Mus musculus: one gene and its partner. The protein of the gene in region 2 interacts with the protein of the main gene of each other region in a biochemical or structural test. Links are inferred from orthologs where the notes say so. Each region holds a gene or a part of one and is shown on either strand. Other genes may lie near its edges.

Region 1 (3,644 bases), on a different chromosome or scaffold from region 2:
GATGGTTGGCAGAAAGGCCTTTGGCAAGGCAAGATGGGGTGGGAACAGCCTAGGGATGGCCTGATGGGGGCAGGACCAGGGCCTCCCTGTGCCGGGCACTGCTGACTACTGCTTCTTCATAAGAGCCTTTTGTTCTCTGCATAGGACACGCTGAATAATAACTCTTTAGGCAAAAAGCACAGTTGGCAGGACCGTGTGTCTCGATCATCCTCCCCTCTGAAGACAGGTAAGTCAGGCCTCTCTCCCCAAGCTGGAGACCCAGCAGTCTTCACCTGGCTCACCTGGGCTGAGGTCATCTGGAAGCCAGTGGCTGGCTGCAGAGGACAGTTGGGAAGAGGAGGGGACAGGTATCTGGACAGAGGTTCTGCCCTCAGCACCCACCTGCCTGTCCTCCAGGAGAACAGACGCCTCCACATGAACACATCTGCCTGAGTGATGAGCTGCCACCCCAGGGCAGTCCTGTTCCCACCCAGGACCGCGGCACTTCCACCGACAGCCCTTGTCGCCGAAGTGCAGCCACCCAGATGGCACCTCCAAGCGGTCCCCCTGCCACTGCGCCTGGTGGCCGGGGCCACTCCCATCGAGACCGAATCCACTACCAGGCAGATGTGCGGCTCGAGGCGACTGAGGAGATCTACCTGACCCCAGTGCAGAGGCCCCCAGACCCTGCAGAACCCACCTCCACCTTCATGCCACCCACGGAGAGCCGGATGTCAGTTAGCTCCGATCCAGACCCTGCCGCTTACTCTGTAACTGCGGGGCGGCCACACCCCTCCATCAGTGAAGAGGATGAGGGCTTCGACTGCCTGTCATCCCCAGAGCGAGCTGAGCCACCAGGTGGAGGGTGGCGGGGAAGCCTCGGGGAGCCACCACCGCCTCCACGGGCCTCACTGAGCTCGGACACCAGCGCACTGTCCTACGACTCGGTCAAGTACACACTGGTGGTGGATGAACATGCCCAGCTTGAGTTGGTGAGCCTGCGGCCGTGCTTTGGAGATTACAGTGACGAAAGCGACTCTGCCACTGTCTATGACAACTGTGCCTCTGCCTCCTCGCCCTACGAGTCAGCCATTGGTGAGGAGTATGAGGAGGCCCCTCAGCCCCGGCCTCCCACCTGCCTCTCAGAGGACTCCACCCCGGATGAGCCTGATGTCCACTTCTCTAAGAAGTTTCTGAATGTCTTCATGAGTGGCCGCTCTCGTTCCTCCAGTGAGTCGGTGAACGGGGGGAGCAGTGTGGGAACCTGAACAGGACCTCACACACCACATAGTCTGCCTGACAGCAAGACAGAGCTTTCTACCTGCTCTGAGCCACCTCCTCCAAACTATTGCCTTCCCACAGGTGCTGAGTCCTTTGGGCTGTTCTCCTGCGTCATCAATGGGGAGGAGCATGAGCAAACCCATCGGGCTATATTCAGGTGAGGGCTGCCCCCTTCCTTGCCTCTGCCAGCTCATCACTGGCATCCCCTCAGCTGCTGGGGGACCATACCCTCTTGTAGGAACTCAGCTTAGTGACAAAGTGCTGAGGTGCCGTGAACTATAGGTGCTAGGACTATACACCTAACCTGGGTAGGGGTCGGAGAGATGCCCACCCTACATAGAACCTATGTACCCTAGGCAAGCTGCTCACTTTCATTTAAATTTCTTAAGGCCTAGGCTCCCTTTCTCCCTGGCCCCTGGGTTTTTGGATAGGAGTGTCACGTGTTCCTTCAGAGTCGGCACTGTGACGGGCACATGGGTAATCTGCAAACGTCAGCAGCTCAGGACCCCAGACTGGGCCTGGCTGCAGCACCTCCCGTGCCCTTGGGGACAGGTTTGTGCCTCGGCATGAAGATGAACTTGAGCTGGAAGTGGATGACCCCCTGCTGGTGGAGCTGCAGGCAGAAGACTATTGGTATGAGGCCTATAACATGCGCACCGGAGCCCGCGGGGTCTTCCCTGCCTACTATGCCATTGAGGTCACCAAGGAGCCTGAGCACATGGCAGGTAGTACGCTTCCCCCGGTCTGGTCTTACCCACCCCTGCCATCTGCCTGCCAACTCGCTGCCAGTGAACACACACCCCAGGTCTTAGGGAGAAGAGGAGAGGTCATTTCAGTTCCACTTCACAGTTAGTGCCCCGCCAAGTCAGGGCCTGTGGGGATGGTGGCATCGTCGTCTGCTGCCTGAGTCACTCTTCATGCTCCTCTCTCCTTGGCTCAGCTCAGAGCCCCTTGCTGATGGCTCTCTTAGACTCCTCCTTGTATGCTTGCTTTCCAGCCCTTGCCAAAAACAGCGACTGGATTGACCAGTTCCGGGTGAAGTTCCTGGGGTCTGTCCAGGTTCCTTATCACAAGGGCAATGATGTCCTCTGTGCTGCTATGCAAAAGGTACCCACGTTTGGATCCATGCTTCTTCCTGGGGGGTGGGGGAGCCTATTCTCAGCCAGCCCACACTATTGGGGAAAAGGATACAGGGATCTGGAGGCTGTGCTGTGACACAGTGAGACAGCTTCCAACAGAAGCCCATCCCTCCACAGATCGCCACCACCCGCCGGCTCACCGTGCACTTTAACCCGCCCTCCAGCTGTGTCCTTGAGATCAGTGTCAGGGGTGTCAAGATAGGCGTCAAAGCTGATGATGCTCTGGAGGCCAAGGTGACTTCCTTCAAGCCTCAGCCTTCTTGCCTATGGGCATCTCCTCCCCCTTGGTCTCTTGCCTGCTGTGTGAGCCTAACCCCAGACACCGCATTGTCTCTCCTGCCTACTTCCTACCAGCTGACTTCTTGCTTCTCCCATCACTCCTGTAGGGAAATAAATGTAGCCACTTCTTCCAGCTAAAGAACATCTCTTTCTGTGGATACCATCCAAAGAATAACAAGTGAGTACAAGGAGCAGTCATGAGAGTCCCATTGGACATCTTCAGACATGGTGGGTGAGTAGGGCTCAGAATCTTATCTCACAGATGCCTGCCTTCCACAGGTACTTTGGGTTTATCACTAAGCACCCTGCTGACCACCGGTTTGCCTGCCATGTCTTTGTGTCTGAAGATTCCACCAAAGCCCTGGCGGAGTCTGTGGGGTACGTGTGTACGTGTGTGTGTGTGTACGTGTGTGTGCACGTGCTGTTTTCATGCTCAGTTGTCAGCATCACCCCTGCCCTCTAGTTCTGGAAGCCCCAATCCTGGAAGAGGCTGGGAGGTCCCAAGAAGCCCAGGCTCTGGACCACTCCTTGTTGATTAGCCACTGGTCCTCTTCCCCACTTGGCCCTTTCTCTTTGGGCAGTAACTGCCCAGAGGACAGTTAAGCTGTCCCCAGCCCCGGATCTCCCTTGTGGAGCCTGGGATGAGGCTCCTGGTCACCCCCATGTCCCCCACTTCCCAGGCGTGCATTTCAGCAGTTCTACAAGCAGTTTGTGGAGTATACCTGTCCTACAGAAGATATCTACTTGGAGTAGCAGCACCCCCACTCTCTGCAGCCCCTCAGCCCCAAGCCAGTGCAAGGACAGCTGGCTGCTGACAGGATGTGGTACTGCCACAAAAGAATGGGGGAATGAGGGCTGTTGGGTCGGGGGGGCCGGGGTTTGGGGAGAGGCAGATGCAGTTTATTGTAATATATGGGGTTAGATTAATCTATGGAGGACAGTACAGGCTCTCTGGGGACTGGGGAA
Region 2 (4,357 bases):
GGCTCTGCTGCTGCTTTCCTTTGGCCCCTGTTTTACAGTAGCTGAGGCCAAGATGCTCAAAATGTCCGTGCTGATGCCCCTAAGAATCTCTGCACTCTCCTGTCACGCAGGACCATGTCCACTACATTTCCTACTGTCCCCAGCCCATGCCCTCTGCTCCAGCAGACCCAGGTCCCGCTGTCTCCACATTGCTGACCTCTGCCTCTGAGCCTGCACTGTGGTCAGGCCCTGCCCAGACACCCACCCAACCAAGTACTTCACTAAGTGCTGCCTGTTTTGGACTGGCTTGAAGCCTGCCCACTTCAGGAAGCTGTCTGAACCTGTCACCAATTTTTCCTGGGCCTATGACAGGCAGCGAATGGGAGTCCGAGATAGTGAGAGATGGAGTCTCCCTTCATATTTGCATCCCTGGCCTGGGGGACCCCTGCTTGCTGGGCATCCTGGGTCAGGGCTTCTGAAGGTCCTTAAGCTGCTCTGGTCTCATTGTTCCCATTCTAGGGAGGCTGAAACTGAGGTTCTGAGGTGAAATAATCGGCCGGAGAACATGTAGGCAGGAAAGAGTGGGATGGAACAGCCTTAGTCTCTGAGCAGGGAGGAGGGTCTTCCCTGCTGAGATCTCTGTCCTGAAGGAGCTGCCTATGGGAGAGGGAGGGAAGCAACACCACGTTTGTAAATCTCGGAAGGGGAAGGCTGGAGGAGCAGCTTCCAGAAGACTTCCCTGAGGTGGTGACCACGGTAAAGCAGGGTGCTGAAGGGCCGCCTGAGAGAGCTCAGTTTTGAAAACTTGTCAAAACTTCAGCTGAAGACTGGGACTAGGGACTCCCAGGACAGAGGCAGAACTCTGCCAGGTTCCGGGGATTCCTGTTTTGGGGGTCACTGATAGGCCACGGGTATTCCCTGGACATCTAATACTCCTCTCAGGAAGGAGCTTGTGAGGCCAGCATCTCCCTAACTAGGCTCAGCTGAGCTAGGAGACGTGTGCACCTGGGCCTCGGCTGGGCCGTGCTCCGAGCCTCCCCGTGCCCATGCTTCATGCCCCTGGAAACTCACTGTTGTTGGACTTCAGGTCTCGGTGTATCACAGGCACCAGAGCCTCACAGTGCAGGTAGTGCATTCCTCGGGCAATCTGCACAGCCCAGTTGACCAGCACATGGGGGGGCACACGCCGACCAGCCAGGGCCCGGCTAAGAGGCCCACCAGCTGCATACTCCATCACCAGGCATAGGTTTGGCTCCTCCAGGCACACAGCTTTGAGGGCAATGATGTTGGGATGGGCCAGCATGGCAAAAAGCCGGGCCTCCTGTCGAACACTCTCAGCTGTTACACTGATGTCCTCATCAGGGTCCTGTCGGGCTGCCTTCACAGCCACCAGCTCCCCTCGCCAGCTGCCACGGTAGACCTTGCCGAAGCCACCGATGCCGATCACCTCCTCCAGTCGCAGCTCCTGGAAGCTGGCCACCTCACAGGGGGGTGGGCCTCCACCCCGAGATACATAGTTGGATGGAAAAATGCCCACCTGGCCACCCACCTGGCCCGCCCACCAGCCCTCATCTCCTGAGATGGCTGCATCCCTGGACAGCACCTCCACACGGTCGCCCTTCCTCAGGGCTAGTTCGTCCTGCCCATTGGGCTCATAGTCGAACAGGGCTGTCCAGACAGGATTGGCATAAGCTGCTGTTGCCTTCGGAGACCCCTCCGGCCGGACTCCACCGGTACCCCCGCCGCCCCCACTGCCACTGCCGTTCCATGACCCCAGCGGGCTCTTGAGGAAGAGGTTCTTCAAGGGCTCCATGGCAGGGAGCCGGCGTTGGAATGTGTGGGGGACCTTCTTCGGGTGCCCGTGGTATCCACCCCCGCTGGCTTGTGAGGCCCTAGAGCCGGAACCTGGGCATCCGGGCCCTGGCCCTCAGCCCCAGACCCACGCCTCTCTGGGGAGCCAGGAGTGTCGCCTCCCGGCCCCCCGCATCTCGGGCTTTTGGAGGAGGGCACCAAGGGCAGTGTGGTCAGGCTGGAGGGGTGGGGCCCACTGGCCTCCGGCGCCTCACCATGGCTGAATTGGAGCAGCAGAGTCCCTCAGTTCCGAAGTAGTCCTGGGAACCTGGCTTCAGCGCCCGCCTACCGTAAGGTGGGGCCTGCCAGGGTCAGCGCCCGGACTCTGGTTGTTGTCTCCAGGCACAAGAGGTAAGAGAAAGTCCCCAGTTGAGCCGAAGCTACCTCTTCTTGGGCTAGTGCCTTGGGCCCCGACAGCTCCGACCCCGGTCCCTTCTTCCTCCTCCCTTTGTACTTTGGCCCCGGGGGCGGGAGGCAGAGGTGGAGGGTGGAGTTTCACTTTTTTCCGCTCTTCTCCCTCCTGCAGGAAACAGCATCAGATGACGTGGGCGGGTTGCACCGCTCCCCTCCCGGAGGCTCCCGGCAGCTGTGCACGGGAGTTCCCGGGGAGGTTGGCCAAGAGAGGTAGAAGGCGGGCCAGGTAGTTCCTCCCGCCTCCCCCGCCCCCAAACACACCGGCACAACTCTAAGCCTTACGTTAGGTGCTCCTCTGCTCACGGTCGAAGTGGATCTCTGCAAAGACAGAGAAGAATCCTTGTGTCTGAATTCTCATCAGCCAAATCACCCTTGTGATTGCCTCAAAACCAAAATCTGGTCTTGGCTACGAAGTTGCAGAGCTCTTTAAGATTCGTTCTTTCCATATATGAAATAACAAGATACCCTGCTTTTCAGTGCTAGAGGGGGATGTGAACAGAGAAGTTTGGGACTTCAAAATCGGCTTACACTTGAAGCTCTTGGAACCATTTAAAATTATCTTCCTTTCACCCGAGAGGCAAAAACCTGAAACTGTCGTTCAGAACTTTGCCCGGGATTAGATTCAGAGTTGAAGGGCCTTCAACAACCTCTTCGTTAGTTCATCACTTGTCCTGTGTCTGTTACTTTAAGAAAGCCTATGTCATCCTGTTCGACTACTCAGGCCTGATCAGGATCACTCTCTGCTTCGGCTAAGCTCTGACCCGGAAGTAGAGGCGTAAGCCAAGCGACAACCATGATTTACGGTCTCGCACTAAGGAGAGGCGGCCCAAGTCGGGGGTGTGACCCGGTAACGCAAACTGGAAGTAGCCGTGAGGAGTCCCATTCTCCAGCTTTTCCCCGCCTCCTGTAACGCATTGGAAAAGCTTTGCGCCAGTCATCAAGTCGTTACCCAATGGCGACTCACCCGGCCGTCCCATATTTTGGTGGCTCTAGAATTTGACTGCGCGCGCGCCTAAGATACCTCTGCATCCCGTCACTTCGCTACTTCTCCGCGCTTGCGCACTTCTGCCGCCAGGTTTTCCTTTTCCGGGTCCCAACAGGTTCTAACGGGCGCATGCGCCAGTGCAGGCTGGCAGCTCGCGGCTCCTTCTTCCGGCCTCCCCTTTGCGCCGGCACCGGTAGAAGCGGGGCGAACGCAGAGCCCCAAGCGAGTGACCTGCGACCCCGGAAGTGGACCTCAGGGTCCCAAGGATTTCTCCGGTCCGGAGCCAAGGGACCTATCACTGGCACTCCGAGAGCACCTATTCCACGCCCACCTCTGGATGCCGCCGACGGGTGCCCAGCCCTTGCCCTGCGCCTGCTTTCAGGCTCGGCGCTTTACAACAGTTCTGGGCCACCGGAGGGGGCCCAGGCCCCGCCTCTGATGCAGTCCCACCCCAGTATCCCGGCCTGATCCGCTGACTGCCTGGGCCGGCCCCGCCCCCTGCCTGTGCCCTCACCCTACCAATCCCCTCCCCCGTCTGGGGGAGGCCATGGCGTGAAATCTAAGTCGGACCCCGGGACCCTCGGGCGCCAGCGGGGCATGGGCCGGGGGCCGCCCCCATGAGGGTCCCGGGAGGAGGGCGTGCGCAGCAGCGGCTGGGCCATGGGGTCTCAGGTGTTGCAGATCCTGCGCCAGGGGGTGTGGGCCTCGCTCACTGGGGGATGGTTCTTCGATCCGCATCAGAGCACCTTCTCCAACTGCTTCCATCTCTATGTCTGGATCTTCTTGCTCATCTTTCCCTTCTTGCTGTACATGGTGAGAGGCTGCCACCACCTGTAACTATGGCGAGAGGGAGTGTAGTCTGGAGGGATGGGCATCTTGAGTCCTGGGGCGTGGAGTGAAGCGAGTCACTGTAGAGTTCACTGTAGAGTTTACTTTGGTTTTATATAGAGGAAAGACCAAGTCTTTTCTGCATGGAGTGACCTTGAGCGCCTCATTTAATCTACCCGGTTAAACAGAGGGCTACCCCTAACAGGGCTCTTTGTACTGTTGCATGAAGGGGTGATGAAGTTTTGTAAACCGATGAATCCTAGTTCTTTACAGTGGTGGCAGGTACACCCTCAAGGGAGC

Evidence for each region. The genes of interacting proteins can lie anywhere in the genome.
Region 1: the proteins of Map3k11 (region 2) and Mapk8ip1 form a complex in vitro, tested with the Homo sapiens proteins (2 studies listed by BioGRID). The link is inferred for Mus musculus from reciprocal best matches to the Homo sapiens genes MAP3K11 and MAPK8IP1.

The regions. Positions count from the first base shown.
Region 1 is NC_000068.7:92,384,136-92,387,779, reverse strand, and holds part of Mapk8ip1 (C-Jun-amino-terminal kinase-interacting protein 1), read left to right. Parts: intron 1-144; coding exon 145-226; intron 227-333; exon of another isoform or gene 334-396; coding exon 397-1,209; intron 1,210-1,341; coding exon 1,342-1,417; intron 1,418-1,812; coding exon 1,813-1,985; intron 1,986-2,257; coding exon 2,258-2,367; intron 2,368-2,516; coding exon 2,517-2,633; intron 2,634-2,785; coding exon 2,786-2,856; intron 2,857-2,957; coding exon 2,958-3,056; coding exon of another isoform or gene 3,057-3,141; exon of another isoform or gene 3,142-3,358; coding exon 3,359-3,431; 3' UTR 3,432-3,644. UniProt on the Homo sapiens protein: The JNK-interacting protein (JIP) group of scaffold proteins selectively mediates JNK signaling by aggregating specific components of the MAPK cascade to form a functional JNK signaling module. Required for JNK activation in response to excitotoxic stress.
Region 2 is NC_000085.6:5,687,682-5,692,038, reverse strand, and holds the start of Map3k11 (mitogen-activated protein kinase kinase kinase 11), read right to left. Parts: upstream 2,909-4,357; 5' UTR 2,773-2,908; exon of another isoform or gene 2,563-2,772; 5' UTR 2,527-2,562; exon of another isoform or gene 2,351-2,526; 5' UTR 1,793-2,350; coding exon 1,051-1,792; intron 1-1,050. Other genes in the region: Pcnx3 (pecanex-like protein 3), read left to right, coding at 3,890-4,042. UniProt on the Homo sapiens protein: Activates the JUN N-terminal pathway. Required for serum-stimulated cell proliferation and for mitogen and cytokine activation of MAPK14 (p38), MAPK3 (ERK) and MAPK8 (JNK1) through phosphorylation and activation of MAP2K4/MKK4 and MAP2K7/MKK7.